Linked DNA regions of Sus scrofa. The protein of the gene in region 3 purifies or fractionates together with the protein of the main gene of each other region. This does not show direct contact. Links are inferred from orthologs where the notes say so. Each region holds a gene or a part of one and is shown on either strand. Other genes may lie near its edges. The genes, in order: CCNB1, MAD2L1, CDC27, ANAPC16, ANAPC13, UBE2S and ANAPC1.

What was found.
Region 1: the proteins of CDC27 (region 3) and CCNB1 purify together in Homo sapiens (affinity purification with western blotting; 6 studies listed by BioGRID, with this or other methods). This does not show direct contact. The link is inferred for Sus scrofa from reciprocal best matches to the Homo sapiens genes CDC27 and CCNB1.
Region 2: the proteins of CDC27 (region 3) and MAD2L1 purify together in Homo sapiens (affinity purification with western blotting; 29 studies listed by BioGRID and IntAct, with this or other methods). This does not show direct contact. The link is inferred for Sus scrofa from reciprocal best matches to the Homo sapiens genes CDC27 and MAD2L1.
Region 4: the proteins of CDC27 (region 3) and ANAPC16 purify together in Homo sapiens (affinity purification with mass spectrometry; 10 studies listed by BioGRID and IntAct, with this or other methods). This does not show direct contact. The link is inferred for Sus scrofa from reciprocal best matches to the Homo sapiens genes CDC27 and ANAPC16.
Region 5: the proteins of CDC27 (region 3) and ANAPC13 purify together in Homo sapiens (affinity purification with mass spectrometry; 5 studies listed by BioGRID and IntAct, counting the BioPlex papers as one, with this or other methods). This does not show direct contact. The link is inferred for Sus scrofa from reciprocal best matches to the Homo sapiens genes CDC27 and ANAPC13.
Region 6: the proteins of CDC27 (region 3) and UBE2S purify together in Homo sapiens (affinity purification with western blotting; 4 studies listed by BioGRID, with this or other methods). This does not show direct contact. The link is inferred for Sus scrofa from reciprocal best matches to the Homo sapiens genes CDC27 and UBE2S.
Region 7: the proteins of CDC27 (region 3) and ANAPC1 purify together in Homo sapiens (affinity purification with mass spectrometry; 16 studies listed by BioGRID and IntAct, with this or other methods). This does not show direct contact. The link is inferred for Sus scrofa from reciprocal best matches to the Homo sapiens genes CDC27 and ANAPC1.

The regions. Positions count from the first base shown.
Region 1 is NC_010458.4:47,336,856-47,341,044, forward strand, and holds the start of CCNB1 (G2/mitotic-specific cyclin-B1), read left to right. Parts: upstream 1-1,383; 5' UTR 1,384-1,515; coding exon 1,516-1,536; intron 1,537-2,144; coding exon 2,145-2,315; intron 2,316-2,408; coding exon 2,409-2,585; intron 2,586-4,189. UniProt on the Homo sapiens protein: Essential for the control of the cell cycle at the G2/M (mitosis) transition.
Region 2 is NC_010450.4:103,925,926-103,930,164, reverse strand, and holds the start of MAD2L1 (mitotic spindle assembly checkpoint protein MAD2A), read right to left. Parts: upstream 2,808-4,239; 5' UTR 2,596-2,807; coding exon 2,523-2,595; intron 1,770-2,522; coding exon 1,623-1,769; intron 1-1,622. UniProt on the Homo sapiens protein: Component of the spindle-assembly checkpoint that prevents the onset of anaphase until all chromosomes are properly aligned at the metaphase plate.
Region 3 is NC_010454.4:16,809,655-16,813,676, reverse strand, and holds the start of CDC27 (cell division cycle protein 27 homolog), read right to left. Parts: upstream 2,810-4,022; 5' UTR 2,727-2,809; coding exon of another isoform or gene 2,648-2,726; coding exon 2,621-2,647; intron 1-2,620. UniProt on the Homo sapiens protein: Component of the anaphase promoting complex/cyclosome (APC/C), a cell cycle-regulated E3 ubiquitin ligase that controls progression through mitosis and the G1 phase of the cell cycle.
Region 4 is NC_010456.5:75,081,161-75,085,472, reverse strand, and holds the start of ANAPC16 (anaphase-promoting complex subunit 16), read right to left. Parts: upstream 2,801-4,312; 5' UTR 2,659-2,800; exon of another isoform or gene 2,492-2,658; intron 318-2,491; exon of another isoform or gene 225-317; intron 1-224. UniProt on the Homo sapiens protein: Component of the anaphase promoting complex/cyclosome (APC/C), a cell cycle-regulated E3 ubiquitin ligase that controls progression through mitosis and the G1 phase of the cell cycle.
Region 5 is NC_010455.5:75,602,200-75,606,371, forward strand, and holds the start of ANAPC13 (anaphase-promoting complex subunit 13), read right to left. Parts: upstream 2,817-4,172; 5' UTR 2,793-2,816; exon of another isoform or gene 2,742-2,792; intron 2,420-2,741; exon of another isoform or gene 2,368-2,419; intron 2,089-2,367; 5' UTR 2,062-2,088; coding exon 1,963-2,061; intron 1-1,962. Other genes in the region: CEP63 (centrosomal protein of 63 kDa), read left to right, coding at 3,914-3,948. UniProt on the Homo sapiens protein: Component of the anaphase promoting complex/cyclosome (APC/C), a cell cycle-regulated E3 ubiquitin ligase that controls progression through mitosis and the G1 phase of the cell cycle.
Region 6 is NC_010448.4:59,567,684-59,571,819, forward strand, and holds the start of UBE2S (ubiquitin-conjugating enzyme E2 S), read right to left. Parts: upstream 2,802-4,136; 5' UTR 2,257-2,801; coding exon 2,254-2,256; intron 1,632-2,253; coding exon 1,484-1,631; intron 204-1,483; coding exon 13-203; intron 1-12. UniProt on the Homo sapiens protein: Accepts ubiquitin from the E1 complex and catalyzes its covalent attachment to other proteins. Catalyzes 'Lys-11'-linked polyubiquitination.
Region 7 is NC_010445.4:44,482,737-44,486,765, reverse strand, and holds the start of ANAPC1 (anaphase-promoting complex subunit 1), read right to left. Parts: upstream 2,806-4,029; 5' UTR 2,783-2,805; intron 1-2,782. Other genes in the region: MERTK (tyrosine-protein kinase Mer), read left to right, coding at 3,496-3,556. UniProt on the Homo sapiens protein: Component of the anaphase promoting complex/cyclosome (APC/C), a cell cycle-regulated E3 ubiquitin ligase that controls progression through mitosis and the G1 phase of the cell cycle.

The DNA.
Region 1 (4,189 bases), on a different chromosome or scaffold from region 3:
AAAAAGTGGCAGGGAGTACTGCACTCTTCAAAACCATCAGTGTTCAAAAAACAAAAAAAAAAAAAAAAAAAAAAACAAAGACAAAGGAAAGCTGTGGGAACTGTTCCAGACTAAAGGAGGCTACATGCAACACTGACCCTAGCTGGATCTTGTACTGGAGGAAAGAAAGTGCTAGAAACTGCTCAAGCGACAAAATTAGAATACAAACTAGATTGAATAAAATGTTATAGTAAATTTACGCAGTTGCTAATTCTATTGTGATTACATTAAGAGAATATGCTTTTTTCCTTAGGAAATACACACTAAAAATTTAACAGATAAGGAGCCATGATATATATAACTTACCCTCAAATATTTAAGTGGTTTTTTGTTTGTTTGTTTGTTTGTTTTTTTAAGGGCCGCACGTGCAGCATATGTAAGTTCCCAGGCTAGGGGTTGAATCAAAGTCACATCTGCAGCCCACACCAGAGCTCAGGGCAACTGAGCAAGGTCAGGGATGGAAACTGAATCCTCATGGATACCAGTCAGGTTTGTTACTGCTGAGCCACAACAGGTATTTCCAAGAAAAAAAATTTATATACAGTTATACATAGATCTATATATAAGATTAAGTAAACCATAAAACAAATGGGGTAAAAATGTTAAGGATATTTGAATCTGGATAAAGGCTCTATGTGTGTTCCTTGTTACATTTTTGTCTGAAACTTTTGTAAGTTTGAAATTATTTTCAAGTAAAAAACTAAAAGAAAAAGATTGGCTTTGGGAAACAACTTGATTGAAGTAATCTGGCAGGTTAAGAGGCAGCCTGGCTTGCAAAATTAAGAGACAATTAGTGTGTGGAAACCTCATGGATCCAAAGAAAGTGAAGTTCAATCCCGTGTTACTAATTTGTGATCCTGGGAGTCACCCAAAGCATCTCGGAGCCTCCTTTTTATCCCAGAGTGCTGTTGGAATGAACAAACGAAAAAAGAATGTATATATAAAAGTATTTCCTGCTACAAGCCACTCTAGGAGAGGAAAGTGTGTTTAACAAGTAGGACTAAAGCCATAACTGCCCCTCACGTCAAACAAGGAGCTCCACTCTTCCTTTCCCAAGGCCGCTGTGACTTGTCTCAGCTAACTTTAGTCGCTTACAAGTTCACTGCTCCAGGTGTGGGGCAAAGAGAACCCTCCCTTCATCAGGTGGCAGTAGCGGCTGCCCCAGGGCGCAGGCGCCGAGTCAGACCACGTGACGGCCTGGCCCCGCCCCCGCCCGAACTTCTTCGCGGGATCGCCTTGGAAACGCATTTTCGGAGGAACTGGCCGCCGCCAATGGGAAGTGAGCGAGTGCCACGAACAGGCCAATAAGGAGGGAGCGGTGCGGGGTTTAAACCCGAGGCGGGGCCGGATTCCTCCCGGCGTGCTGCGGAGGAACGGCTGTTAGCTAGTGGTGGCTTCAAGGTCCCCGGCTGGTCGGGGCTCCAGTGCTCTGCTTCTCCCCTCTGAGCTGCTGCCTGGCCTGGTACAGAGGAAGTCATGGCGCTCCGGATCACCAGGGTGAGCTGCTGCGGTTGGTGAACAAACGCGGCTCTCCTGACTCCTGGGTCTCCTCTCCCTGTTTCCCCTGCTGGAGTTCCCCCACGGTGGGAGCGAATTTGGAGAGGAGGAAGGCGGTCGGTGGGCCCCTAACATACTGGGAGAGTTTGGGGGGCAGACGGACGGAGAGAGAAAGGTGCAAAAGAGAAGCGGATGGGCCTTGGACTAATTGGGGGGAGGGGGCAGATGGAGGGTAGACCGGAAACCTTTTGTAAAAGGTGTTGGAGGACCCGAGTGGGCTCCCACCAATTGCGCAATCTTCTTCCCTGAGGGAAAGGGAAGGTGCCTGCAATTGAAGGCTTTTTCGATTTCCATGGTATTTTAGGTCCGGCGGGGACTGAGCACGTAATCCCTCAATAGGTGAACGGAGAGGTTCCAGGAGAAAACTGACTTGTCATAAGCTTAGCGTAGACCCTGGAACCCCGGTTTCCCCTGGGAACCCATTCACAGTCGGCTTTCCTTCTGAGGGCCGCAGTTTTTTTTGTTGTTTTTTTTTTTTGCCCCGCTTTAACCCTTGACTTATTTTAACGTGGCGGGGCCAACTCCCAGACTCGTCTTGCTTCTTACAGAACACGAAAATTAATGCTGAAAATAAGGCGAAGATCAGTATGGCAGGCGCAAAGCGCGTGCCTGTGGCCTCTGCTGCAACCTCTAAGCCCGGACTGAGGCCAAGAACTGCTCTTGGAGACATCGGTAACAAAGTCAGTGAACAGCCACAGGCCAAACTGCCTCTGAAAAAGGTAACTATGCTGATTCAACTATTCTGTGAGTGTCTCCCTTCCAGCTGTGGCTCTTGGTGGAGAAACAATCCATTCTCTCCTTTTCATCCACAGGAAGCAAAAACTTTAGCTGCTGGAAAAGTTGTTGCTAAAAAACTACCGAAACCTCTGGAAAAGGCTCCTGTACCTGTATTAGAGCCCCAGCCAGAGAGGGAGCCCGAGCCTGAACTGGAGCCTGAACCAGAACCTGAGCCTGTTAAAGGAGAGAAACTTTCCCCTGAACCTATTTTGGTAAACTTTCTGGACCATTTTAGAGTCTGTTGATTGTTTGTTTCCTTTCATTTTATTCAAGTATGGAATAGCATTTGAACAAATAGTAGTAATAGTAACATTTATATAGTACTTAACAGGAAGTAGGTTCTGCTAAGCACTGTACATGCATTAGCTCACGTTAATAGTATACTCAGCACTGGTATTCTTCTAGTCACATCTAGTCAATGACAGAATTGGGTTCAAACCCAGCCTATCTGGCTTCAGAAACTGTGCTTTTAATTGCTTTGTTTTACTACCCCTCCTTTGTTTACGGTATTGAGTGGTAGCTGCAGGGACCAAAGATTTTGCTGTCTTTAAGGTACCAGTCATCTCTGACCAGAATATGTTGACTGAAGCACAGATTGTTCTCTTTAAGTCCTTTTTGTTTACTCCCTAATGTGGCCACCAAATAATAATAAGCCAACACCGAAATATATAAATGTGTAAAGCAGAAAATGTAGCTCTTCAGAGAGCAGGGTAAGAAGATGGCTTAACACTTGGCCTCAACACCAAGAACTTTTTATTAAATATCAGATATTAAATGTATCTTCTTCTGTGAGGGAAAAATATTTCATCTAGAAGAGGCTGCTTGGCTGAAATTGCAATGAATTGCATTCTTAAGTACTAATTTTTAATATCTCCTTAAAGCTGGTTGGGAAATGGTCTGTTAAAGTCATTCAGCCTCATTGTATGTCTAAGGGAAGGGGATGTGACTGAGGCTGTGGATTTAATATTGACCTTCTGGACACAGCACAGAAAACTGTAGCATGCACAGTCTTTGTTTTATGGGATTTTTTTTGTGGTTTTCATTTGTTCCTTTTTTTTTTCCCCCACTCTTTAATTGACCATACCTCATGACCTGAGCTTTCATTTAAAAGTCCCATAGTGATTCTAACCTTTGCTTCCCCACTTACAAGAATACTTTTCCCACCCTCTTTCATGTAACTGATAACCTTTTCATCCTTCATAACAGCTCAAGCATCAACACCCAAAGCTTTCTTTAACTTCCCCCATCCCCATCTTAACTTCCCCCACCCTACTCTTGTTCCCAGAATCAGTCTCTTTACTTCATTTACTTCTTTGTTTTGTTTTTTGTTTTTTGTCTTTTGTCTTTTTGCCATTTCTTGGGCCACTCCCGCGGCATATGGAAGTTCCCAGGCTAGGGGTCTAATCGGAGCTGAAGCCACTGGCCTACACCAGGGCCACAGCAACGCTGGATCTGAGCCGCATCTGCAACCTACACCACAGCTCACAGCAACACCGGATCGTTAACCCACTGAGCAAGGGCAGGGATCGAACCCTCAACCTCATGGTTCCTAGTCAGATTCGTTAACCACTGAGCCTCGACGGGAACTCCCATTTACTTTTTCTAAATTCAAAGCTTCTTGAGGACATCATAAAGCCAGTGTCTAGCACAGGGCTTGATTTGAAGAAAGTGCTCAGTCAATGTTTGGACCACAGGGTAACTGGAGCTTGAGGAAAATGGTTTGTGATAACAAGTCAGTTAATCCTTAGTAGTCAGAACAGAACTTGTGTTCTTTTGGGCAGTGGGAAACAGTCCATAATTTGAAATAAAGACTAAG
Region 2 (4,239 bases), on a different chromosome or scaffold from region 3:
AAAATAATGGCATTTGCAGCAACATGGATGGACCTAGAAACTATCATACTAGGTGAAGTTTGTAAGACAGTGAGACACCAATGTCATATGCTATCACTTATATGGGGAATCTAAAAAAAGGATACAGTGAACTTCTTTGCGGAAGAGATACTGACTCAGACTTTCAAAAACTTACGGTTTCCAAGAAGACACGTTGGGGGTTGGGGGATGGGCTGGGGGTTTGGGATGGAAATGCTGTAAAATTGGGTTGTGATGATTGTTGTACAACTATAAATGTAATAAAATTCATTGAGTTAAAAAAATCAAGCTGCTTGAAACAAAAAAGATTCATTTAAAATTAAAAACATGGAAGCAACATAAATGTCCACTGACAGAGGAATGGATAAAGAAGATGTGGTACATATATACAATGGAATATTACTCAGCCATAAAAAAGAATGAAATAATGCCATTTGCAGCAACATGGATGGACCTAGAGATTATCATACTAAGTGAAGTTAGTGAAAGACAAACATGATAGCACTTAATGTGGAATCTTAAAAAAAAAAAAAAAATACAAATGAAGTTATTTGCAGAACAGAGACTTTGAAAAACTTATGGTAACCAAAGGGGAGAAGTGGGGGAAGAGGGATGGGGTGGGGGATTGATTTGGGATTGGCATATGCACACTGAGGTATATGGAATGCTTGCCCAATAGGGACCTGCTGTATAGTACAGGGAACTCCACCAAACAGTCTGTGATGGGCTACATGGGAAAGAAATCTGAAGAAGAATGCATGTGTATACATGTATAACTGAATCACTGTGTTGTACAGCAGAAATTATTACAACATTGTAAATCAACTATACCTCAGTAAAAACTTAAAAAAAAAATAAATAAAGATGAGGGCTGTAGTGTTTTTTAGAACTTTGGAAGATCAATGTGTGGATATGGAAAAATATCCTACAACACAGAAAAATTAGAAATGAGAACCCTAGGTGGAGACAAACATGAAAGAGAAACTAGAAATTTTAGAAGAAAGAAGAGGAATAGATGGAGAACAAGTATTAATTAAACAATACTGACACTTCTTGAGCTAAAAGGAAAAAATAAGTATTCAGACTCACATGTAGGATTTAAGACAAGACAATGGAAACAGGTGAAAAGTAAGAAAATTCTAATGGTGCTCTGTTATTTGGTAGTTGTTCTTTTTAAAGTTTAGTCCCCAGGTTGAATTCAGTTTTGCTTCCTTCATCTTAATGATGGCTTTAGACTCCATGCAGCTACAAATATATATATAGTGGATTTTTCTCAGATAATGAACACCAATATAATTATGTAAAATTCCAACATGTTCCATTTGGTCACATAAACTGCAACACTCATTTCTAAAGGAGTTGATGGGAATTGTTTCATTAAGCCGTATCGCGTTCCTAACATGAAAATATTCAGCCCACTCAAAATGGGGTAAAGATGGGACTTCTTTTTGATTTATTTTCTTCCTCCCAGTTATTTCACTATATTTGAGATGGTAGTGTGTTTTACACCACCAGGTATACAGATGAAAAATGACCAGCAAGCTGCTAGAAAATGGATCCTAGAATGCTGGCAAAACTCAAAACTGTTTCCAACAATGAAATACCTTTTAGTTGTTCCACCACATTATTTAGGTATTTTATGAGCTCAGGATCAGTAGTTACAAGCAAGGTAAGTCCGTATTTCTGTACTCGAGTAAAGGTTTCAGATGGATATATGCCACGCTGATATAAAATGCTGTTGATGCCAAACGCTGAAAACAAAAGAAATGTTAAAAGTCATTTTCATTTTGTAATTCTGAGAAATAAAACATATTTAGTCATGTGGCTATGGTTTCATTAATGGTGTAAAGCTGTAAATGTTTAAACACGCGTTTGTGTTTTGCTCAAAGGTACAAAGTGAAATTAAAAAGCTTTAAAATTTTGCTTCTAAACAAAAAAGTGGTATCTGCATTTAAGTGGCAATAAAAGAAACATGGCAAACTGCATTTATCTACCAGTGCCAAATTTCATTTCATTGTAAAACAATTCTAAATTCAGACTTTATGGTTAGAGGATGTCAAAAGAAGCAACTGAGTCGTCCAACGCCCAGGCAATCCTCTCCTTTTTTTCCTCCTTTTCTTCTCACAAGTCCTGCCAGGTTCTATCAGAAGGTGCAACTGGCCTGGTCCAGAAGAACGCCTCCCCAAGTCTAGCCCATTACCGTCAATCCTGATTCACCTCGGGGTGGGTATGGGGTTTGCTCCCGGCTAAGCGGTTATATCGCCAGGCAGGCCTCAGCAGAACCTAGGCCGCCTCCTCCACCATTAGCAACGCATCCGGAAGAGGCGCCTGCATCCGCCTCTTCCAGATCCCTCCTGCCTGGCAGTACGCTGAGACTGAGAGGGCTCGGATTCGCGTCCGCTCTGACCCAATGGGTTCTCCCCGCCACCGTACCGAGCCGCGGGCCTACTTGGCGGCCTGGGCACAGTTCTCCCCGCTCTCCGGCCTGCGCGAGAAGGACTTACAGAAGAACTCCGCCACGATTTCGGCGCTCCCGCGCAGGGTAATGCCTTGCTCCCGGGAGAGCTGCAGCGCCATGGCCAGGCCCACGGATGAAGAGACGCGCTTTCACGCGGCAACCAGCCACACCAGTGACTTCCAGAGTAGTTCCCCGCCACCGGTTTCAAAAGTAACGACGCAGGACGCCGTCGACTCTTTCGCGCAGGCGCAACGAGCCTTTAGGCCCCGCCCTTACACCACGGGGTCTGGCTTGTTTTCTCCTTCCTCGCGTAGCCGCTCTTCGCGCCTGCGCAGTGGGTGGACGTGCTCACGCTGTTGAGTCGTTGCGTCGCGGTGGGTTCCTTGTGGAACTCCTGCGGTAGTTGGTTGGCTAGCTGGGGGCTTGCGGCAAAGACGGTATATCGCGGTTTTAGTGGCCGCGCCTTGAGTCTTCAGGCAGAAGGGGTAAGGAGCACAACTCCTGAGTTTGAAAGATATTTTGAAAATGCTCCGATCTGTCTGCTAGCTGTACCTTAAGTAGCCCCAGTGATTCTTAGTGGGCGGGCGGAACTCCTCAGATGCTTTGGGAGTTTCTAAAGCTACTGCGTGCGCACCACAGTTTTATTAGAGACCCTGATTACTTGTGGGCGCGCGGCTTTTCCTGAGAAATTGGTTTAGGGATTAAAGGGATGAACTGCGTCCATTCTTCTTTCCCTTGTCTGTTCTGGGCAAAGCTCACGTCTACTCCTCACCCCGACCCTCTGCTAGGCTCAGTCTGGGGGCAGCCTGAGGCTGTCTCTGATGGTCCAGCTTGCACTCTGCACCCCGCCATCCTTCGGCGACTGGTCAGGAGTAAGGTCACTTCACCAAAAAGGCCTTTCAACACTGAAGAACTTTTCCGTGAATTTTGAATTTTATTGTTAGGATGAGAAGTACTAAAGAGATAGCGCGCAACTAATGTGCATGTCAGTTGTTTTGAAACAAGTTTATTCTTAAAGTGGGTAGAAAAAATGTAAAATGAAATCTGAAAAACTTAACCACCTTACATAATGTTATTTAATTGTATGAAAAAATGCCTGAGTGTATTAGTTTTCTATTGCTGCATAATAAATTACCACAAATGAGTGGCTTAAAACAACACCCATTTATTATCAGTCCTTCAGTCAGGAGCATGGCGTGGCATAGGTGAGTTCTCTACTGTAGTCTTCACAAGTTTGAAATAAGGGTATTTGTCTGCAAGTGGGATCTTACCTAAAATCAGGGGTCCTCTTCTGAGGCCCTTGGTTCTTGGTAGACTTAATATCCTTGTTCTTGGACTGATGTCCTCACTGGCTTGCCAGCTGTTGGCAGAGGCCAGTCTTGTGCTTTTGCCAGGTAGCCCTTCCATAAATCTCAGGCTTCCAGTCTCTGACTTCTGGGAGGTCCCTTTTAAAGGCTCAAGTGATTAGGTCAGACCCAGTCAGATAATTTCCTCTTTGATGAACTTAATCCTCAAAGTGATAACTCCTAATAATCACTACTCTGGCCACACTAAAGTGGAGGGATTCTATAGGATAGGCTCCCTGGAGGCCACAAATTTTGAGGACGCCCTTAGAACTCTGCCTATTCAGTGTTATATATCAAAACTTGATCAGTTTAAAGACTGAAACAGGTATAATATGTAATAAGTTGATTTGATCCAATAACATTTTCCTTACATCCTTTAGTTTCTGTGGTACAAGTGTGTGTGTGTTTAAATCACCG
Region 3 (4,022 bases):
GAGCAGCCCAAAGAAATAGCAAAAAGACAAAAAATAAATAAATAAATAAATAAATAAATAAATTTCATCAGATGAATTTTATTAAGATCCAAATTAACACTGATTCAAGTCACTTAGGCTAATTTATCTCCCAGTTACTTTAAAAATAACTGACAAAAATTTCTGCCTCATAATAGAGATTTTTGTAAAGACTCAAATATAAAGTAACACTTTTCTAAGAGAGAGAATTGTATTTAGGCTTATACGGTTTAAATCAAACTGGCTACTCCATGCTAAAACTTTAAAAAAGAAAAAGCAAAAAACAGTTGCTCATCTTTTCTCTCAACTTTTTCCAAGGAGGCCTAGTAATACCTTGAGCAGAGACATCCCTAGAAAGGAAATACCTTCTTTCATTCCTTCACAAATACATGCAATCACTTACTAGAGTTTTAAAAAAAGTATCTTATGTAGCTGTTCTATTTTTATTCTCTTTTTTAATAATTCCTTCCCATTTTCAGCACTATTCCTATCAGTTGATTTTTATCATTGTAGCCAAAGATCCTATTGCTCCAGATCCCTTCTTGAATGGCTTCTTCTCATAGTAAAAATTATAACCAAAATTCTCACCTAGCTCTATCTTCACTCATCTTACCACTGTGCCCAAATCTAATAAAGGTAGTATAGGAAAAAAAAAAAGACCAATTTGACCTTTTTTGGGGGGGGGGTCTTTTTGTCTTTTTAGGGCTGCCCCCACGGCATATGGAGGTTCCCAGGTTAGGGGTCCAATTGGAGCTGCAACTGCCTGCCTATGTCACAGCCACAGCAATGTGGGATCCAAGCCACGTCTGCGACCTACACCACAGCTCATAGCAATGCTGGATCCTAAACCCACTGAGCAAGGCCAGGTATTGAACCCGTGTCCTCATGGATGCTAGCTGGGTTTGCTAACTGCTGAGCCAGGATGGGAACTCCAAGACAAATCTGACTTTTAAGCCTTAAAAATACCCTAAATGCTTTAGAGTTAAGAGTACTTTAAAGAAAAAGAGGAAACTCGATTGGTACTATCAAGGAATTGGCTACATATTTTCTTTATGTTTTTATGTAAGTTTAAATTGTTAATAAATAGTTGTTATAGGTTAGTAATAAAACTAGTTTATCATTTTAGAAGGGTTTGGGGACCAGAGAAGGAAAATATATCATTAATTATTGAAATTACAAAAATCTGAAGCAGAAATTAAACGATTTAAGTGATTTGCTTATCCATTTAAAAAGGTACAGACAGTAACTTCCAATTTCATGTTAGGCTTCAAAAAAAAAATCTTAAAAAGGGACTCTTTACTAGTAAGAGAAAAGTGATGGAAGGAAATAGCTTTGAAAGCACCAGTATAATGTAAAAACAGGTAAACTTCCAGGATAGAATCTCACATTATATTAACTAAAAAACTAATAGTTGCTATACAGAAAAGAGCTAGAGAAAGAGCCAACTAGGAGAAAATAGTATTTCATCCTGTGAAGAAAAATTAAGGAAATATGGAAGGAGTGATGTATTAAATTTTTTACTATGTGATACCAATAGTAAGTAGTGAATAGGCCTATTAAGGGCAATATGAAAGAACTTCTAAAATTGGTTTCTTTTTTTAACTTCAAAATAAAGAAAGTCCCTGACTCAAAGACAGTAGTTGATAAAGGTCAACTCTTTTAATCAATTCAAAGATCATAGGGTAGGCATAAAGTCTCCCAGACCTGGTCCATCACCAAGGGACAAAAGATTCAGTTTCTTCAGATGTCTTGGGGGGGGGGGGAATGACTTGGCACTGCATCATCACACACTTAAAATCCAATAGGGTTCCTTCCAAGCCAATGGAGCACTTTGCATCAAAACATACCTTGGTGTGGTACGGACGGAAAAATCATTATCTGCCTTTCATTTCCTGAACGCCTTATAAACACGTACAATAAAACACTCCTGATTCCCATCATAGGTCATGGAAAAAACCCAACTTGCCGTTTCCACCCTCTCCCCTTTAATAGGTGCTTGCATCTCAGCACCGGGCCTTGGAGTTCTCGACGGAAATCATTGTCCAGAAGGAAGTTTACTGGGCGAGAAAAGCAACGTGGGTTACAAAGTCTGTCACCGAAATAGAAATTAGTATTAAAAACACCGATCCTACCCTCCCTCCACCTACTCACAAAAAAACAAAAACAAAATCAAAAACAACACTCTCCCCGCAAACTTGCCCCACCATTATGAAGATCCTGCAAACGCTGATCAAATATGCTTCCCAATCATCTTCAGGCAAGAGAGCACCTGGGGCTAGTTTTCCGCCCCCTCATCCCAAACCCGTCCCGGGCCCGGCCCCCAGACTGACAGAAGGGGTTCGCTCGACGTTGGCCTGGAAGGGAAAGGGGGTCTTATCAACGAACCCCGCTCCTGCTGGGGGAAGAAGTAATGTAGGGCCAGAGGTAACACGGCTTAGGTTGCGGGCAAGGCTTCGGAACTGACGAGAAGACAGGCAGAAGCCGGCGAGAGGGGAGGCGGGAGAAGCAGCCGGGCCTAGGCCGCACCAGGCCGCGAAGTGGCCATACGCTGCTTCCAGACCAAGGCTGCGAGCCAAGCCTCAGCGAAGGGGGTTACCATTACCTGGACGGGTTCCTGCAGCACCGTCATCCTTGAGGCTCAGGCCCACTTTCTGCAGTGCCTCAGGCCCCCCCCCGTAGCGGCTCCGGCCCGGCCAGCCCCGGCTCATTTAAACTCACCAGCGACCGTTACCGGGGGATGGGGGAGGCCGAGCGATTGCCGAGTACTTCCGAAAGGGACACGGAAAAACCCGAAGTGGAGAGACCGGGGCGGGAGCCAGACGGAAATGACCGAAGGAAACCGGAAATACCCGAGGTGTATCGACGGAGGAGGAGACCGTTGCCGGAAATTGTCGAGGATTACCGGAGATTACCGAGTGTAACCCAGTGCGTAGGTTCCACTTCTACGCCATGCCTTCACTCACGCACGCCACGCCCCCCATGGGCCACCCTAGGGCACGCCCAATCCGCAACCAGTAGGCTGGGCATGGCTGCAGGAGTCAGCTGGGATCGTTACGTGACCCGGTGGCCGCCTTGCTTCTCCGCTCAACCTTGCTGGATTAATTGGTGCGCTGCAGATTAAGCAAAGGGTTAAACCCAAGAGTTTGGGGTTGACTTTAGTTAAACAAGAATTATCTGTATTTTGAGTTTAGGTCATTCATTCATTCCAGAACTATCTATTCAAGGCTCAAAAGGAAAATAGGAAATTGGAAGGATTGCCACCCCCGAAGATTTTGTAGGACCCCGGTCCTCAAAGAGATTATTGTCTATTTAACGGAAAACTAATGTAACAAAGAATAGTACATTATATGGTGATGTGAGCATTCAGAAGAGAGGAAAGGGAAATTAATTAGGATTGAGATGAGGAAGTTTCAGACTGGTTTCGAAGGATGGGTAGAATTAGAAGAAAGGAGAAAATAGAAGGAAGTAGAATGAGATCTGGTACGTTAACTGGAAATGATTATTTAGGTGGCCAGATCATGGAAAAATCTCAGGAGGGAAGAGTTTTTTATTCTTGATAGAGGCATTGTGGTGTATTGGGAAATTCAGAGGCTTAGTTTTGAATTTTATCTCTGGCACTAAATTGTATTAGGTCCTTAAGCAAGTCACAACCTCCCTGAACTTCTGTTGCCTTAGTCTGAAAAAAAAAAGCAATTAAGAGAACTAAATGCATTAAAGTATGTGACTGTGTCTAACAAACTCTAAGAGGTTCTCAAATTTACTTCCTGCTCCCTTTCCCCCCAGAATGTGTGAACAGGGAACTATCAAAACTTTATTTTTTGGTAGATAAGAAAAAGTCTTTGCAATATTTTTAAATTCAAGTATAGTTGATTTACAATATTATGTTTCAGGTGAACAGCAAAGTGATGCAGATATATTTACAGATTGTTTGCCATTATAGTTTATTACAAAATATCAAATATAGTTCCCTGTGCTATACAGTAAATCCTTGTTGCTTATCTATT
Region 4 (4,312 bases), on a different chromosome or scaffold from region 3:
AGTGCCAAGGCAGCAATTTGACTGAGGAAATAAAATATATGAGGATAAAACAACCATGCCTCATAGAACAGTTTGTCTTGGATACATCCTAACCAAGCCACACCAAGAAATTCACTTATAAAATTTTCCGAATAAAATTCCAGAATAACACTGTGTTCTGTTCCCAAGGAAGGGGAACTGGTTAGGAAATACATATTGGCCCTTTCATTAAAAATTAGAAAAACCTTTTTCATCCAAATGTAATATCCAAATTGATCACTTGGTGGCGTCCCAAAACTGGAACAAAACAGCTCAGGAATGGTCTTAGAATTCAGGGCCTATTAGGAATAGAGGAGGTATGAGTGTTCAATCCTATGTCACATTCACAGCAAAAAAACCAGAAAGTCCACATGTAAATGAGAAAATATGTACCAAATACATGAATCCTTACAAAAGTTCAAAATGGAAATTTACACTACATGTTTACAAAAGATTCTAAAAAGTTTATGTTTTCTAAAAAGAATAGTCTTCTTTCAAACTCAGAACTACCATTCAGTACACAAAACAGCCAGGGTTGAAAAGCGGAGTGCAGAATTAGCACTAACTTTAACATAAATAAGCAGTTTTCCACTTAAGTGGAAAAATACAACCAAGTAATTTCTAGCTTTAAAAATTTAGGTGAGATTCTGAGTGCTACCAGCAGGTGGTATGTGATGAATGAAAGTGAAACAAACAATAAACCCTAGTTTGTAACTGTTCTATGAAGGCAGTCACTTGGATCACCAGAACCAAACATTATGCTTGGCCTATACTAAGTAGCTGTTGATTTAAATAAATGTTTGCTGAATGAGTTAAGCATTTCACAGAACCACAAGATTCCTCCTTTAAGGTCATCTAATCCACTTCCCTTATTTTACAGATGACCAAACAAAACTGAGGTGTAGAGACTTTAGCTTATTTGCTGGGCCATATTTTAAACAATGGCTTTTTGGCATGTCATGTGCCATGTGAGAGGTGAAAGAGCATAGTGGTTAAGAGGTCAGGCTGAAGCCTCTTGGTCTAGGCTCGTATCTGTATGACTCGGGACAAATCATTTAACTTCTTTACTCTTCAGTTGCCTCATCTCTAAAATTGGGATAATGATAGTGCCTACCTCAGACATGTTAGGAAGCTTAATATAATTAAAGCAATTTGAACAGTTATAGGTACAGTAAACACTTAATATTAGTTATCCAAAATCACTAATGATTTTTTCCTGAATCATTTTTTCCCTATGCCAGATCAGTTTTTTTAAATGATTTTTATTTTTTCCATTAAGTTGGTTTACAGTGTCCTGTCAATTTCCTACTGTACAGCAAAGTGACCCAGTCACGCACACATATATACATTCTTTTTCTTACATTATCTTCCATCATGCTTCATCACAAGTGACTAGATATAGTTCCCAGTGCCATACAGCAGGATCTCACTGCTTTATCCAGATCCCGGTTTTTCATACTTATTGTTTCAACACACTCAAGGGAAAAGTTATTACTCCCTCCATTTGACATATAGTCAGCACACTCCTAGAGGGGAAAGAACCTGCTCAGAAAGAGGGAACATGCACTTCACACTAACATGCACTTCACACTTTTAAGGTTCATAATCTTAGGAAGAACCCCTTTCTTAGGAAAAGGGGGAGGAGTTATCTTTTTACCCTGGAGGCCTAGCACAGAACCTGGATCACAATTTCTCCTGAATAATGAACAAATGACAGAACACAGGGCGAGCAGCTCAGCAAAGGTTACCCAGGGGCTAGAGAAGATTGGTATGAAGAGGACTGGTTCATTATCATTTTGTTTTTCTTCCTCATTCTGCAGATCTATTTACATAACTCTTTCTCCCACTTGGCTGCTATGCCCAAAGTTGATGCTCTGTAAAATTTTGACAAATGTTTAAATACTGATGATGAGGTAACCTGGGATTTGACGCTATCAGGAAAGCTGGAACTATTAGCAGTAGCGATCCTTGCAGTAGAACAATGCTCTCTGGGGAGATACAGCACGGCTGTGTTCACATTGGTGAGATAATCAACACATTTACTTCATATACGATGGGGATGACCTCGTATTCATAAACTACTTTCCTTCCTGGCAGATATATACCTATCTTAGAAAGAACCTTTTCCTTTTAAAAATGTCCTATCATAAAGATACTGAAGGAAGTACGCTGGTACAATGGCAAATTATTAGAAGCAATTATTAAACTCCATCATCAAGAAAACATTCATTCCGCTGTGTTTCACTTAAACAGCTGGATTACCATTCAAAAAGATGTGCAGCTAAAAACAAGTGGGGCGGAAAGAAATGGGCTGCCAAGAGGAGGGATCAGAACGCCAACGGTTCTCAAGCTACCTCCAAGTCACAGCCACAGCCTCACCCCCACCCCCACCCCGACCCGCCATCGAGTCCCCAGAGGGCTACGCCAACAGCGCCGTTCCACTGCGCAGGCGCCAGCCCTCGGCCCGCATGCGCACTAGCCAGGCGCGGCCTAAGGAAATTTCCTCTTGCACGCCCTCTGCGGCAGGCTCCCATTCCTCCTCCTACTTTCTCCATTTTACTAGTCCCTGCAGGTAGGATCCCAGAGATCAAGTCCCTTTCCACCAGGCTCTCGAGGGTCCCTGAGCCCTCGGCCACTTACCTCAGCAGCTTTGGCACTTTCCCCTACAGCCCCGCCCCCAAGGCCGACTGGTGCGGCCGAGTTAACATCGACAAGGGCGGCGCCGTGCTCGCGCCCGCGTGGAGGGACCGGCAGCGGCGTGCGCGTGCCCCTTGCAGTAGTGGGCGTGGCCGGGGCGGAGAGGACTTCCGGGTCCTTCTCCTCCTCGTTCCCGGATTTTCTTTTTGCTGTGGGGTCCGTATTTCTCCGCTACCTTTGGAGTACTCGTTTTATTTTTTCTTGCTCACTTTTGTCATTTAGGGTTTTATCTTAACGCACGGCATTTCAGGCCTTCTGCTTTGCTCTCTCTTACCAAACCGTCACGCTGCAGGGTTAAATTTGTTATTCCGCCATCCTTCTGAGCAGACTCGTATCCCAAGGAAAGGCAGATGAACAGCTTCCTATCTCAGACAACGCTCTTTCCCAGAGCTCAGTCTCAGCGCCCTTCCTTAACATTAAAATCTACTTTTGTGGAGAGATTTATTTGAAAGGTCCTGGAGGAATAGGGCACTAGGATGTAAAGTCATTAAACTTGATAATTATACCCCTTCTGACATTCAAGTCTGTTTATTTTACTTATTATTTTATTCATTTTACTGCTAATCTCAACAGGAAATCACCACTTGGTTCTGTAAGCAAATTACCAATTAAAGCTATTTTCTTGCTGGGATTGGGTTGAGCGTTAGGGTATTTAGTGAGAATTGATTTTTTGAGGGGGAACTCTAACTTATTTTGGGCTTCATGACCGTCTAACACATATAGTGGGAACATTGGTTGAGCTTAACTATGGCTAGCCCATAAGGAATCTTTGTTTCCAGATTTTTTTTTTCTTTTTTTCAGGCTGCACCCACGGCATGTTGAACTTCCCAGCCTAGGGGTCGAATTGAAGCTGTAGCTGCCAGCCTACACCACAACCACAGCAACGTGGGGGATCTAAGCCCACAGGAACTATACCACAGCTCACAGAAATGTTGGATCCTTAACCCACTGAGCAAGGCCAGGGATGGAACCCGCATCCTCATGATTCCTAGTCGGGTTTGTTAACCACTGAGCAATGAAGGGAACTCCTCTTTCCAGAATTATTGATTCTTTAAGTGATGTTTAGAAGCTTGGCCTCTCAGTGAAGTGATGTACAGTTTGGGGGCCCACAGAAATTGGATTCCTCCCCTCAGCAATGTGTTCGTTTGGAGAACCATGTTGCTTAAGTCATATTTGATTCTGATAGGCATTTTGATTTTGTTGCGCATATAGTTTTAACACCTCTAAAAGTTCTTCAGGATCTTTTGTCCTCCCCTTGAGGATAAGTGTATTAAATATCCCTGCTTTTCTTAATTACCATGCTGGTTAGAGTGGGTGAGACACTGCAAATGTTTAGGTAAACACAGAAGATTGCATTTTACTCCTAAAGGTTAATGTTACAAAGAGACCTCTGTTCTTTCTGTCAAAGCCATGGACAAGCTCAGTATCTTTTAATCACTTTTTTGGGGAATGCCAATAGTTTACAAATTATCTAGAGTGAGCCAGCAGTGGAATAGTGTAGTGGAAACTGCATCAGTTGGCTTAAAACAGCTTATAGATAGGAGAAATCGAATGGAAACAGTGCTGCTTTGGCTTGGGATGTATTGTGAACTGATGC
Region 5 (4,172 bases), on a different chromosome or scaffold from region 3:
TCAGGAGACTCTCTCAGCTGAGTGTCACAATCAGGACATAAACAGCAGTTGTTTTAAGGCACTATGTTTTGGGGTTATTTGTTAGGCAGCAGCAAAAGCTAACTAACACAAACATTGCCTTAGAACTGCAGGCCCTGGGAAAAGACATGGATTAGCAATACGGCCCGGCTACAACCTGGAAGTCGGCATTGAAATTTCCTTCTCCCTCAACCCTTTCTACATAAATGGTCCTGAAATTCTGCTGTTAGCATGTCCAGAATTCAGCAACTCCCTCCACTTTCCTGCTTTTGTTTAGGCCCTTTCTTCCTTGTCTAGACGTTATAATAGCATCCGAACTGGTCTCTGCCCTGTCACTGAACCCTTTCTCCACAACAGACATTCTTTAACAATGCTAAGCTGATCTTCTAATCTATGTGAGTGAGAAGGCAGATTTCCACTTTGAAGACCACTCACTCCTGCATATCCTTAAGATGAGGGCTAAGCATGGCATCCAATGCTCCTCTCAGAATTGGGTCCAACACCAACTTTTCTTACCACATTTGATGACGAGTATACCCTCCATCCACACGGAGGTTTCACCATCTCCCAAAGCCTTTCAAAACTCTAAGCCTTTGCACATTTGTCCCCTTTACTGGAGGGCCCTTGTTTACCCACTAAACCTCTGGTCCTTCCTCGTGACCAGCTTAAATGTGATTTTTTTTCGCTGAGGCCCTTCCTGATGTCTACTGCCTGGCTGTAGCTGTTTATCACCCCCCACTAAGAGCACCTACTATTAAAATTACTTATTATGTTGCATCTCTAGGCCCTGAGGGGCAGAAACTATACTTATGTTTACCCAGTCTTACGGCACACAGTAGGCTTCAAAGAGTTGCTTGTGGAATGAAGATACCAAAAAAGTCCACAGAACAGGATCTGGAGTCTCAGAGACTTAGATGTCAAGTCCAACCTATCAGCTACCAGCCTTTGGGCAAATTCCTCTCTTTGATCCTATATCCTTCCTGTACATTGAGGGTAACACCACCACCCCGAAGTTTAAGCATCAGGGATAATATACGTCAGACTTCGATCTTGGTCCATGGCACAAAACAGGTATTTGATAAGTGGAGCTATAGTTCTTGTATGCGCTTTTGACTATTTTTCTAAACTTGAACTAAGTTATGTGTTATGTGTATTATTCATTGAACATATTACCCGCCCCCCCCTTTTGCCATGCCTTAAGCATGCATAAGTTCCTGGACTAGGGACTGAACTCATGCCATAGTAATGACCAGAGCCACAGCAATGATGGATCCTTCACCTGCTAGGCCACCAGGGAACTCTGTTATCACTTATTCTTAAATGAAATGTCAATGGCAGCAGCAGTCCGCCTGCAAGCTGTCTTCTATTACCAGCTCTTCCTAGGAAAGTTGGTAGGCTCTAAAGGAAAACTCCCTGTTCTCCTTGTTAGGCCTTGGTAACATAAATACAAATTTTAATAAGCCCTCATTCAAAAAAAAAAAAAAAGTTTAGATAACTTATAACACGAGATTTAACAAACTCCTTGCAGAATTTTCCAAAGATCAGGAAACAAGAGAGCTCGATGGTCTAAATGCAAAAAAAAGAAAAGCCAGGTGTCTTCTGAGTATTTTCCAGGGAACCTAGGATAGGTGTGTGTTTCAAAAATGTGAGTGTCTAAAAATGTCAACTGATAAACCCACCTGTGGTGTGGCAGACAGAACATGGCTCAGAAGACCTGGGCTCTAGTTCTGGCATGACCCCTAACTGAGCTGGTCACATCAGTTCTCTGAAACACATTTCTCTTCAAATAAAAAAAAAACAAGATAATTGTTCTTCAGAGGATTCTAGAGTTAGAGGACTCTACAGCACTGATTTCTTTGCTTTACTAGTTTATGTGCCCATTGATATCCTACTTCTACTATATCAGACCTTTAACCCATCACCTCAGAATAAGCAGGGGCCTACCAGTGGTATTGCAACATCTTCATAAGGCAGCTTGTCCTCTCGCCAAGCATCGTCAATCAAATCCAAGATCCTTCCATCTCTCTGTACCTCACTGTCCATTTTCCTGCAGCTTTGCTCTTGCCAGATCTGAAAGCCAAAGAGGTTATTTCTTAAGCATGAGGAGATGATGTAATCTAGCACTAGGGGTTCTCCAAGCTTTTTAGCCTGGATGTGTCTTTTGGCATGATATCACTTTGGGAAAGACTCATCTCATCCGGGTCAGGTTATTTACAAGATCACAGTCCCTTCCAGCTGATTTTCCCAGTCACACACAGATCCCACCTTTCTGTAAGGGTTTCTCAGATCACTCCAGCTTCAGCCCACATCCTGCCCTTGATCTACCTTTTGTCCTTATGATCTACTAACCAAGTCAGGTCGACTTTGTGACCAACTGCTCAGGTATTACTGCTTCCAATTGCTGTGTGTAGTAAAATTTTTTGTCAGTGACTCAGCACATCTTTCCTCAATTTGGCCTCAATCTTTTTTCACCTGTCCCTCTTCCGAACACCTCTAACTCTGTTATCCTTTCCAGCCTTTGCACTCAAAGTTCTTTACCCCATCACTAACACACCCATTTTTCCTTCCAAACTCAAAGCTGGCGTCAGCTCATCAGAACCAACATGCCATTTCCAGAGTTAGGCGCTAAGGTGCCTTCTCTCTTCAGGGGCTGGAAAAAAGGAAAGCACAAGACGGGCAAAGAGGGGCAATGACCAGGAAATGACTACGTCTCAAACACTTGCCTCACTCAACAGAATGAAGCATTACCACTTTCCTGAACAAAGTTTTCTTACACATACGACTGTCCCAATGCCTGGAATGCTCTGTCTTCTTCCTTTTTTCCCCAGCTAACCCCAAACTGTCCAAAAAATTTAGCTCCCAGGTCGTCTTCTGCAGGAGTCGTTCTCTAAGAGCCAGAAGAGCGCAGTCCCCGCCCCTCCGCGGGTCCCATAGTTCTCTGGGCACAGAGAATGATCCCCATCAGGATCTTGGTATATTGCCTGTCACACGGTCTTTCCAGACACGAGACGCCTGCGTTTCCCGGGGGGAGGGCAGTTTTATTCATCTCTGCTTTAGAGCTCTGTGAAACATGCAGTTACATGAGCAAAACTGGGACGCCTTTTCCCTCGCTAGAAATGACCCTCTCGGGCCACCACCGTCCATACAGGCCTGGGAGGCCGCCCCACAGCCACGGCTTCCGGCCCGAGGCGGGATATACCAAATGCGGAAGCGAGGGGGGGGGGTCCGGACAGCCAAGCAAGTTCCCCTCCTCCCCGCCCAACGTGTGGTAAGAGAAGTGGTTAGGAGGGAGAGGATGATGTGAAAACAACGACCTAAGCCAAGAGAAACGGCAGGAGTCCGAACGCGCTCCCGTATCTCCAGACCCTACATTACGTGCGCGCAAACCCTTTTACCAGCCCCAAACCCAGCGTGTCACACACCCCCGCCGACCGCGCCCTCAGCATCACGTGACCCAGACGTCCTTCACTTTCCGATCCCCGGATGTGGGTGAGCCCATTTGCCGGAGCACAGGGGGAGTTAGGGAGGACATTGTTTTAATTAAAAGTGAAGGAGCAGTGGGCAAAACGAACGTGCTGACTGCTGTGGCTGGACGTCAGGTTGGCGGTGCCGCGCGTGCGCACCCCCAGCCGTAGGTAACGGCGGGAAGGCTCGGGGAGCGCTCGCGGCAGCCCTTAACCGCATTGCGAACGTCGGACGGGCGAGGGGCGGCCGTCTCTGGGCCTGGAGGTAGCCCTGGCTGCGGTGGGGCCGCGGGCCGAGCGGCCGAATGGCCTGGGGCCTGCTTCCTCAGCCGCCCGCTGGCCTCCAGGCCCGCCCCCGCCGGCCCGGCTCCGCCCCGGCGCCCCGCCCCCCGGCCTTTTCGCTGACGCCCGGCTGACCCGCGAAGCCGGATATGGCCTCCCTCGGCGTGCGGTCCCGGCCAGCCAGGTGGTCAGCTCTTACCTAGAGACCGGGCCGGCGGGAGGGCGGCGGGGTGGGCGAGCTGCTCGTCTTCCCGGAGCGGAGTTAGCCGCGGGCCACTCTTCCACTTCAGGGGAGGGATCCTCGGCAAGGCCCTCTCGCCTGGGCTGCCTCATCTGGTTAGCTTCTTAGCATTGTTGCGACTTAGGTCATTGATGGCAGGTGATAGCGGTTCATTCACGGGTGGGAAG
Region 6 (4,136 bases), on a different chromosome or scaffold from region 3:
GCCCTAACTCACCAGCAGCACATGCCGGATGCCCAGCTCAGCTGTCCAGTCCCTCTTGAGCACGTTGACACAGATCTCACCGTTGGCGCCCACATTTGGGTGGAAGATCTTGGTCAGGAAGTAGCCCTTGGGTGGGGAGGCAGGAAAGTCCTTCCCCAGCAGGAGTTTCATGCGGAAGAGGCCTCCGGCGTATGGGGTCCCCTCTGGAAGGCAAGGGACGGGGAAGGGGACAACTGGGTCAGGAGGCTCAGGTCTCCTGGGCACCCTGAAAAGCCCTAAAGGGCAGTCTCCACCGACTAGGCTCAGGGCAGGCATTCTGGAGAGGGCGAGAGGACTGGGTTCCCAGGAGGCACCCCCCCACCTCAGAGGTAACCCCTTGGCTTGTGGTTCCCACCCATGGGATGCCTCTCCCCCCCCACCCCTGCCAAGTGGCAAGGCCATGCACACCCACAGCTATTTGGAAGCCTGCTAGGCCAATGCCAAGACAGCTGTCAACTCCACAGTCTCCCCGCCAGACAAACATCCTCATGCCTCAGCCCCCACATCCAACCCATCAGCAGCCTGGGCAGCTGACCTCAGGTCCTCTCCTGAATCTGACCCTACCTCCAAGTCTGGTCACTCCTCTCACCTGTGGACACTAGCAATGGTCAAGAGCTTCCCGACCGCCTCTGCCTTCTGGCCCCCAGCCCCGTCCTCACTGGTCAAAGGAACTCTGAGGCACCCATTACCCCTGTTTTACACCCACCAGCCCCTTCCTTTCCAAACTCCTTAGAAAAAAGCCTACAAACACTGAAATATGTCCCCTAGAAGCTTCTCTAGTCTCCCTCCTTCCTGTTCCCGTAAGGTACACACGGAGTCGGCCAAAAACCTCTGGGGACCCATCAACACACTCTAACCGACACCCCTGGAGAAGTCCGCCCTGATCCTTCCCTACAAGCCGAACTCCCATCTAGGTCCTTCATCACTTGCTCGGCGCTGAGATTAAGAGAAATTCCACTAATAAGTGAAATGTAGCACACACGCAGTAACACGCTGAACCACTGTGTGTGGTCCAACGATCACAGGTACTCATTTGCTTGTTACTGCCCTCTGCCCGCCAGACTGCACCTGGCTTGTTCTCTGCTTGGTCTTCAAAGCCCCTGACACTGACAGCAGGAAGGAATTTGCAATCGTCTAGCCCGCCCCCCCAGGCCTCTCAGACACCATTCCCACGTCCTGGCACCCTCTTCCCAATTCCACTCAATTCCTTCCCATACTTCTGGGTGTGAGGACACCCAAACCAGATAGGACCCCCAGGATTTTCTCTCAATTCTCTCAGAGAAAGTATACACAACTGCGATTTCCCGCCCTGCAGCCCATGAGCACCATGCGTACCAGGTGTGCCCGTCACAGGTCTGGCAGCCCACCTTATACTGAGAGCTTCCTATTCCCGCTCCAAGGATGCCAAGGATTTAGGAAGCGCACCTCCCTCACCCACACTCACCAGGGCCCTCGATGGTGACCTGCAGGTCAGTGAGGTCCTCCTCGTTGGGGAAGACCTTGATGCCATCAGGTGGGTCAGCTGTCAGTGTCGTCACCTCTTTGTACACCAGGCGGATAATGTGCGGGGGTAGGTTCTCCACATTGGAGTTCTAGATGTGGAAAAAAGGGGGCGAGCCATGGGCCTTTGGTCCTGGGGCCTCCTGCAGGACCTAGGATGCGGTGGCCGCCCTACTTTTCTTGCCCCTGCAGTCCTAGTCTGGCCAATCACCCCGAGCTCCCAGACACTCCCAATCCAGGGTGCTTCAGGCGATGGCTTCAGGTGAATCTCCCATTAGGAATGGAGCGGATCTCCAAGGTCTGGCGGATGACTCCACCTTCCCCATAAGTCCCTAAAGCCCATTCGTAGCCCCACATACGGACCCCCAGTGGTCCCGGGTAGGCCCGAGCCCTACCCCGGTGTCCTTCCACACCTCAACTTGGGAAGACCATCCTGGAAACCCCAGCTCCGGCCTGGAGATGGCGGCGGAGTGTCGTTACTCCCGGAACACCCACGGGCAGGCCCGAAAGCCCGGAGCCCTTCCCGGAGCTCAGCTGGGCCTTCCCCTCCCGCTCCGCCTACAGGAGGGCCCCTGGGCCCAGCCCTAACCCAGGACCCCCAACTGGGCCATCCAATCCCCCAGCCGCCAGAGAGATGCTCCTGAGACCCCATCTCCTCCTCCAGGAGGGCCCTGACCGCCCCCCCCCCCCAACAGGCCCGGACGCGACGCTCACCATGACTGCGGCCGGCCGGGGGCGGGTCCCCCCGGCCCCCTTCCTGCGCTCTCCGGCCGCTGGCTGGGGCGGGGGGCCCAATTGCCGCCGCTGCGGCCCTGGGGAGGCCCCAGCGGCCCGGCTCCGCGCCCCACTGCCTCCGACGACCGCCACACACCGCCTGAGCAGGTAAACCCGCCCCGGGCGCCCGACCGCACTAAGCCGGCCGCGCGCACACCGCCGCCCTTTTATATCCGCCCACAGGCCTCGCCCCCTCGGGGCCCCTCGCGCCGCGCCTCGACTCGTGACGTCAGTGCGCACACTCCTTGGCGTTCGACGAGCTCGCTCCCTTTCGACAAACTGCGGGCAAGAGCAGGAGAAACTGGGGAGGGGGCGCGGGGCAGGCTGGCCAATACGTGCGCACGGGGGTCAGGGAGGAAATCCAGGAGAAAGGAGAGGTAGAAAAGGGGAAGTAGAGAAGAGAACGGGAAGGGTGACGCGACCGCTGATTGGTCCGTTTGAATGAAACGCCGGCGTACGCGCTCGCGCCCTGACGCCCAGGAAATCGCGCACGCGACTAACGGTCGACCCGGGAGCCCGAGCCGAGCAAAGAGAGGCGGGACTTGAGGGGTTTTAAAAGGATGATGGAAGGCGGTCCGGCCAATGGGGACGCGCAATCGTGGCGTGGCGTCATGAGACACGCGGAGGCCAATCCCTACTGGAGAAGGCGTACTGGGGCCTTCTCCAGTAGGGAACGGGAGAATTGGAGAGCAACCAATGGGAGTCCTCCCTACCGCGGACCCAGGCGCTCGCAGCCAATTAACTTCGTTCGTTTCTGTGTATGCAGATGAGTGTGCCCGGACGCCTGCGCCCCTTCCTCAGCCTGTGGCGGGGGTGGGCACCGCGAATTGATAGACGTATTTCTGCGAGGCGCCATTTTGTGCTGGCAATGACCTATGACCCGTGTCCTGTGTTGGCAGAGGTTCCACGACCGGCCCCACCCCCACCCCCATGTGTGACCTCTGGCCCCGGCCAGGCCTCGGTTGCGACGCCGGGCGTCAGTTTACTCCTGTGAGAAGAGGAAGAGTCCCCTGGCCTTGTTCAGGGCGCGGTCCTTCTTGTGACTGACCAGGGCCCCCGGCCGGCCGCGCCCCGGCCGGGGCTCCCTCCGCCTGTCGGGGGAAGCGGCCCGGGGTGCCCCGGGGGGACCCTGTCCGGAGAGCCGGAGGCCGAGGAGCTGCGCGGCCTGCCTGGCCCCGGTGCGGTGCGGCCGCGGCGCCCGCCTCAGGGCCGCTCAGCCCCGGAGCGGAGCGTCCAGCTGGGCCACGGTGTCCCGTCGGGGGCCCAGCTTCAGGAAGAGGGAGCAGGACGGTGCCGAGACTCCCACAGCCTCGCGGTCTTCGTGCGCCGGAGGGGCGCGCGGGCGCCCCGCACCCGACCTGCAGGTTCCGCCCGCTGAATGCGGACCTTCCCGCCCCGTTAACACACGAGGACCCCGAAGGAAGAGGGGGGTCGAGTGACTTGCCCAGGGTCCCCCGTGGGGACAAGCAGAGGCGGCGGTGCAGCTGAGCTGTCCCAGCCGACGGTGACTTATGGCGAACCGGGGAGCGGTGGTGGCGTCCTCCGCGCTGACCGGGCCCGCGCCGCCGGGGTCCCCCGAGCCCTTGCCACGGCCCTGTGGGGCGCGTGTCGTGGGATGCCCCCCGGACTCCCGCATGCATTCAGTCCGCTTTTTCTGAGCACCTACCATGGGGCAGGCAGGATGCTGTGGGGATGCAGCAGAGTGTAAAAGGGACAGCACCCCGCGCTCCTGGAGAACCAGACAGTGAGCCAGTGTACCCCGCCAGGAACACAGCCTTTGCCGAACAGTAAGTCGGGGCCAGGGGCGTAGGAAGGGAGGGGGC
Region 7 (4,029 bases), on a different chromosome or scaffold from region 3:
AACAGACCTCTGCAATTTCAGTATGTTGTTCAGCAAACGGAATCTTTTATATCTACCACCTCCATTCTCCCAATAAACTATAACAACTACAAACATCTTCTTTCTGGAATGGTTTGGGGAAGAAAAATGGAGTCTTCTACATGTCCCATCTAAATTCCTCTAGAACTACAAAGGATTTAGACTACTAGGATTTTGTTCCAGAAGCTAAATGGAGTTGCTTGAAAGCATCACTTCAGTTCCCCATCAGATTACAAATTCTAGATCCCTGTGCTTCTGGTATGTTCTTTAGTAGTGGCTGAGTAGAGATTCCTATATCCACCATCCCAATCTCCTCCAATCTTCAACTGCTGGACACTTGTACTTTTATGCTGATTCAAGACTCTGCTAAGCAGCATCTCAGTGCTTCAGTGAATGCTGATGTCTAGATATTTGCACATCCCAGATGTTCAGCATGGCAAAAGGAATCCAGAAGTTGCAAGGGCTAGACACTGGTTCTTCCAGTTTGTCATTCACCTCTCCAAATGTAGTCTCTTACACTGTCTAATACCAGTCCTGTTGACTCTTAAACAACACAGATTTGAACTTTGAGGGTCCATTTACACTCAGATTTCTTTCTTTCTTTTTTCTTTTTGTCTTTTTAGGGCTGCACCTGCAGATATAGAAGTTACCAAGCTAGGGGTTGAATTGGAGCTGTAGCCACTGGCCTACACCACAGCCACAGCAATGCCAGATCTGAGCTGTGTCTGCAATTTATACTGCGGCTCATGGGAATGCCGGATCCTTAACCCACTGAGCGGGGCCAGGGATTGAACCCCCATACTCGTGGATACTAGTCGGGATAATTACCATTGAGCCACAATGGGAACTCTAGATTTTTTTCGATAAATATGACACCAGAGTTCTTTTGTGGTGCAGCAGGTTAAGGATCTGGTGTTGTCACTGCAGCAGCTTGGGTTCTACTGTGGCCTGGGTTTGATCCCTGGCCTGGGAAATTCCACATGCCATAGGCATGGCCATAAATAAGTAAATAAGTAAATATGGTACCTTATATAAATATGCATTTTTTTTTTTTTGGCCATGCTTGTGTCATGTAGAAGTTCCTGGGTCAGGGATTGAACCTGAGCCACAGCAGTGACCCAAGCTACAACAGTGATAACACTAGATCCTTAACATGCTGAGCCACCAGGGAACTCCCTATTTTTCAAGTTATGTTTTCACTTTTGATGTCTAATGTTAGTCATACGTGTACTATCTACAGTGTTTTGTATCATATAAGACTATTTAATATCAATATAGGTATTGACATGTTTTACATCTTTTAAACACGTGATATAAACTTATGGTATTGGTAAATACAGTACAGTACTATAAATGTATTTTTTCTTCCCTAATGCTTTCTTTTTTTTCCCTAAGGCCTTCTTTAAAACATGCTCTTTTCATCAGTTGTATCATTTTTTAAGATTCCACATATAAGTGGAATATGATATTTGTCTCTGACAGTTTCACTTAGTATGATCATCTCTAGGTCTATCCATCTTGCTTGCAAATGGCAATATTTCAATCTTTTTATGGCTGGTAATATACCATTGTGTATACATACTATATCTTCTTTATCTGTTCATCTCTTGATGGACACTTAGATTGCTACCATGTCTTGGCTATTGTGAATAGTGTTGCTCTGAACTTTGGGGTGCATGTATCTTCTCAATTAGAGTTTTCTCCAGATATATGCCCATGATAGGGATTGCTGGACCATATACTAATTCTGTTTTTAGTTTTTTAGGGAACCCCTATACTATTCTCCATAGTGGCTGCACCAATTACATCCCCACTAACAGTTGAGGACAGTTTCCTTTTTTCCACACCCTCTCTAGCATTTAGTATCTTAGACTTTTTGATAATGGCCGTTCTGACTGGTGTGAGGCGATACCTCATTGTAGTTTTGATTTGCATTTCTCTCATAATTAGTGATGTTGGGCATCTTTTCATATCCTGACTGTCTGTCATCTGTCACATCCCCGACTTGAGGAAAACTGCTACAAGGCTGTTTTCTTCCCTCTCCATATTTTCAGTTGAGCATAGGACTTTCTGCTGCCTTCCCTCCAGGTTTCCTCCTGCCCCCAAGCACAGCAGCAGGCTCCTGGGTACGTATGTGAAACTGCTCTGCTGTACTTTAGAATTAGCTTCTTAGCAGCAGATCCCCTCACTGTTCACATCTGTTCATCTGGCCCCTTGAGATCCGTGTCACCCTGAGAGACTAGGGATGCCAGGTGATGTCACCATGCTGATGTTACTTTTGCTGTCAGTGTAATAACCAATCTAAATCCATTTGGGCTTGTTGTCTCCTTACAGCCAAATATACCCCAAGTGACCACCAGCCTAGGAGTCAGGGACTGCTGGATCAGAAAGCAGCGTAAATGGAAATGGAGTAAGGAGATGATGTCAGAGAGGAAAGAGGACCACGTCTTCTAAGACCTTGTCAGCCACAGGCAGGACTTTGACTCTTTTGCAGGGAGAAAGCAGGAACCACCAGTGGAGTTGTGATTAGAGGAATGCCAAGATTTAGCTCACGTTGTCAAAGGATCACATTAAAATACATTAACTCTAGCGGCTGCCCCCTTGGCCCCTACACACTTTATCACTGCGGGGCTATCTCTTTCCGCTAGTGTTCTGCACTTTTTCCTTGACGATCTTCCATGACCATCACGTCTTTGACAAGGGGACACAGTGGTTCTTCCCCCGGGGGGAGGAGAGTTCCTAAAGGCCAGGGCTGGTCTCTCACCTTTGGCCCGATACCCGAGGCGGTGTAGGCGGGGAGCGCTCGGCCGGGAGCCGGTGGATGCGGCGCTCAGAAAGATCGCCTACCACTGTGGCCTTGTCCTCTGGGAGAGCTGCTGCTGCCTGAGTTTTCTGGGTCCACTAAGCCTGGATTGCGGGGTCGCCGCTGCCCGGGAGCCGCTGGCCCCTCCTCTTAGGTCTGGTGGCTGCCTCGGGCGTCTTCTACTCCTCTGGAACTTTATCTCCTCCCTCTGTCCCTCCCACCTGCACGTGTTGGACGCCGGGACCGCCCAGAGGCCTGGGCCGGGTTCTCCTCTCCACCTCCGGTCGCCCCTCCCCTTTACGGCCCCCACCTCCTCCCCTCTCTCCTGTCCCCTCGCCCCCACCCCACATCCAGGTCCGCCCAGACCAGCCCCTCCCCGCCCCTCTAGTCCAGCCTTGTCCCCTTACTCCTCCTCCTCGGCCCTCCTCTCCCCCCCGCCTTCCCGCCCGCTTCCCAACCCAACTGGCTAGGGTCCGCTCGGACTCGGCCCCCGGCCCGCCCCCTCCAGCCCTCAGCGCCTCCCGCCGCTGCTCGGCTTCGCCACTTCGGGGTTGGAGCTGCCCGGGCCGCCGGTACTGGGCCGCTTCTCTGGCGCGCTTGGCGGACGACGCGGCGTGTTCCAGACGTCTGTCTCTCCGTCGGTCCAGAGAGAATTTCCAGATCCGCGCCCCAGGATGGGACGGGCTCTGCTGCTGCTCTTGCGGTGGCTCCTCCTCCCCGCGCTCTGGAGGGGAGGTGAGTGCCCGGGGCCAGGGGCCCGGCGCTGGGGGCTGGGGGCTCGCGGCCGGGAGCTGGGAGGTGGGAGCGCACCGACCTGGGCGCACCCGGCTGCAAGAAAGTTTGCAAACATCTCCCCGCGCCCCAGCGGTGCCAGGCGCTGGCGCGCAGGAGTTTCTAGCAACCCACTGTCCCCGCACCCAGGCTGGGTCGTGGGCGCGCGTCCCGGTGGAGTCGGGAAGGGGTGGGTACCGAGGGCTCCCCTTAACCGCCCAGGGGGAAATCGAGCTTGACTGGAAGCGCTGCAAGCCCAAAAGTTTTGCGCGGAGAGGAACGCTGGTCGCAGGTCTGGCGCGGAATGCGCCAGAAACTTTGCCCTGGACTTGGTTGCGCGGTTGGACCCTGGCTGTGGCGGGAGTTCTGGGAGCGGCAGACCCCATCTCCAGGGGGACCCGCGCCCGGAGACCAGCAGACTGTGGGAGTTGGGGTCG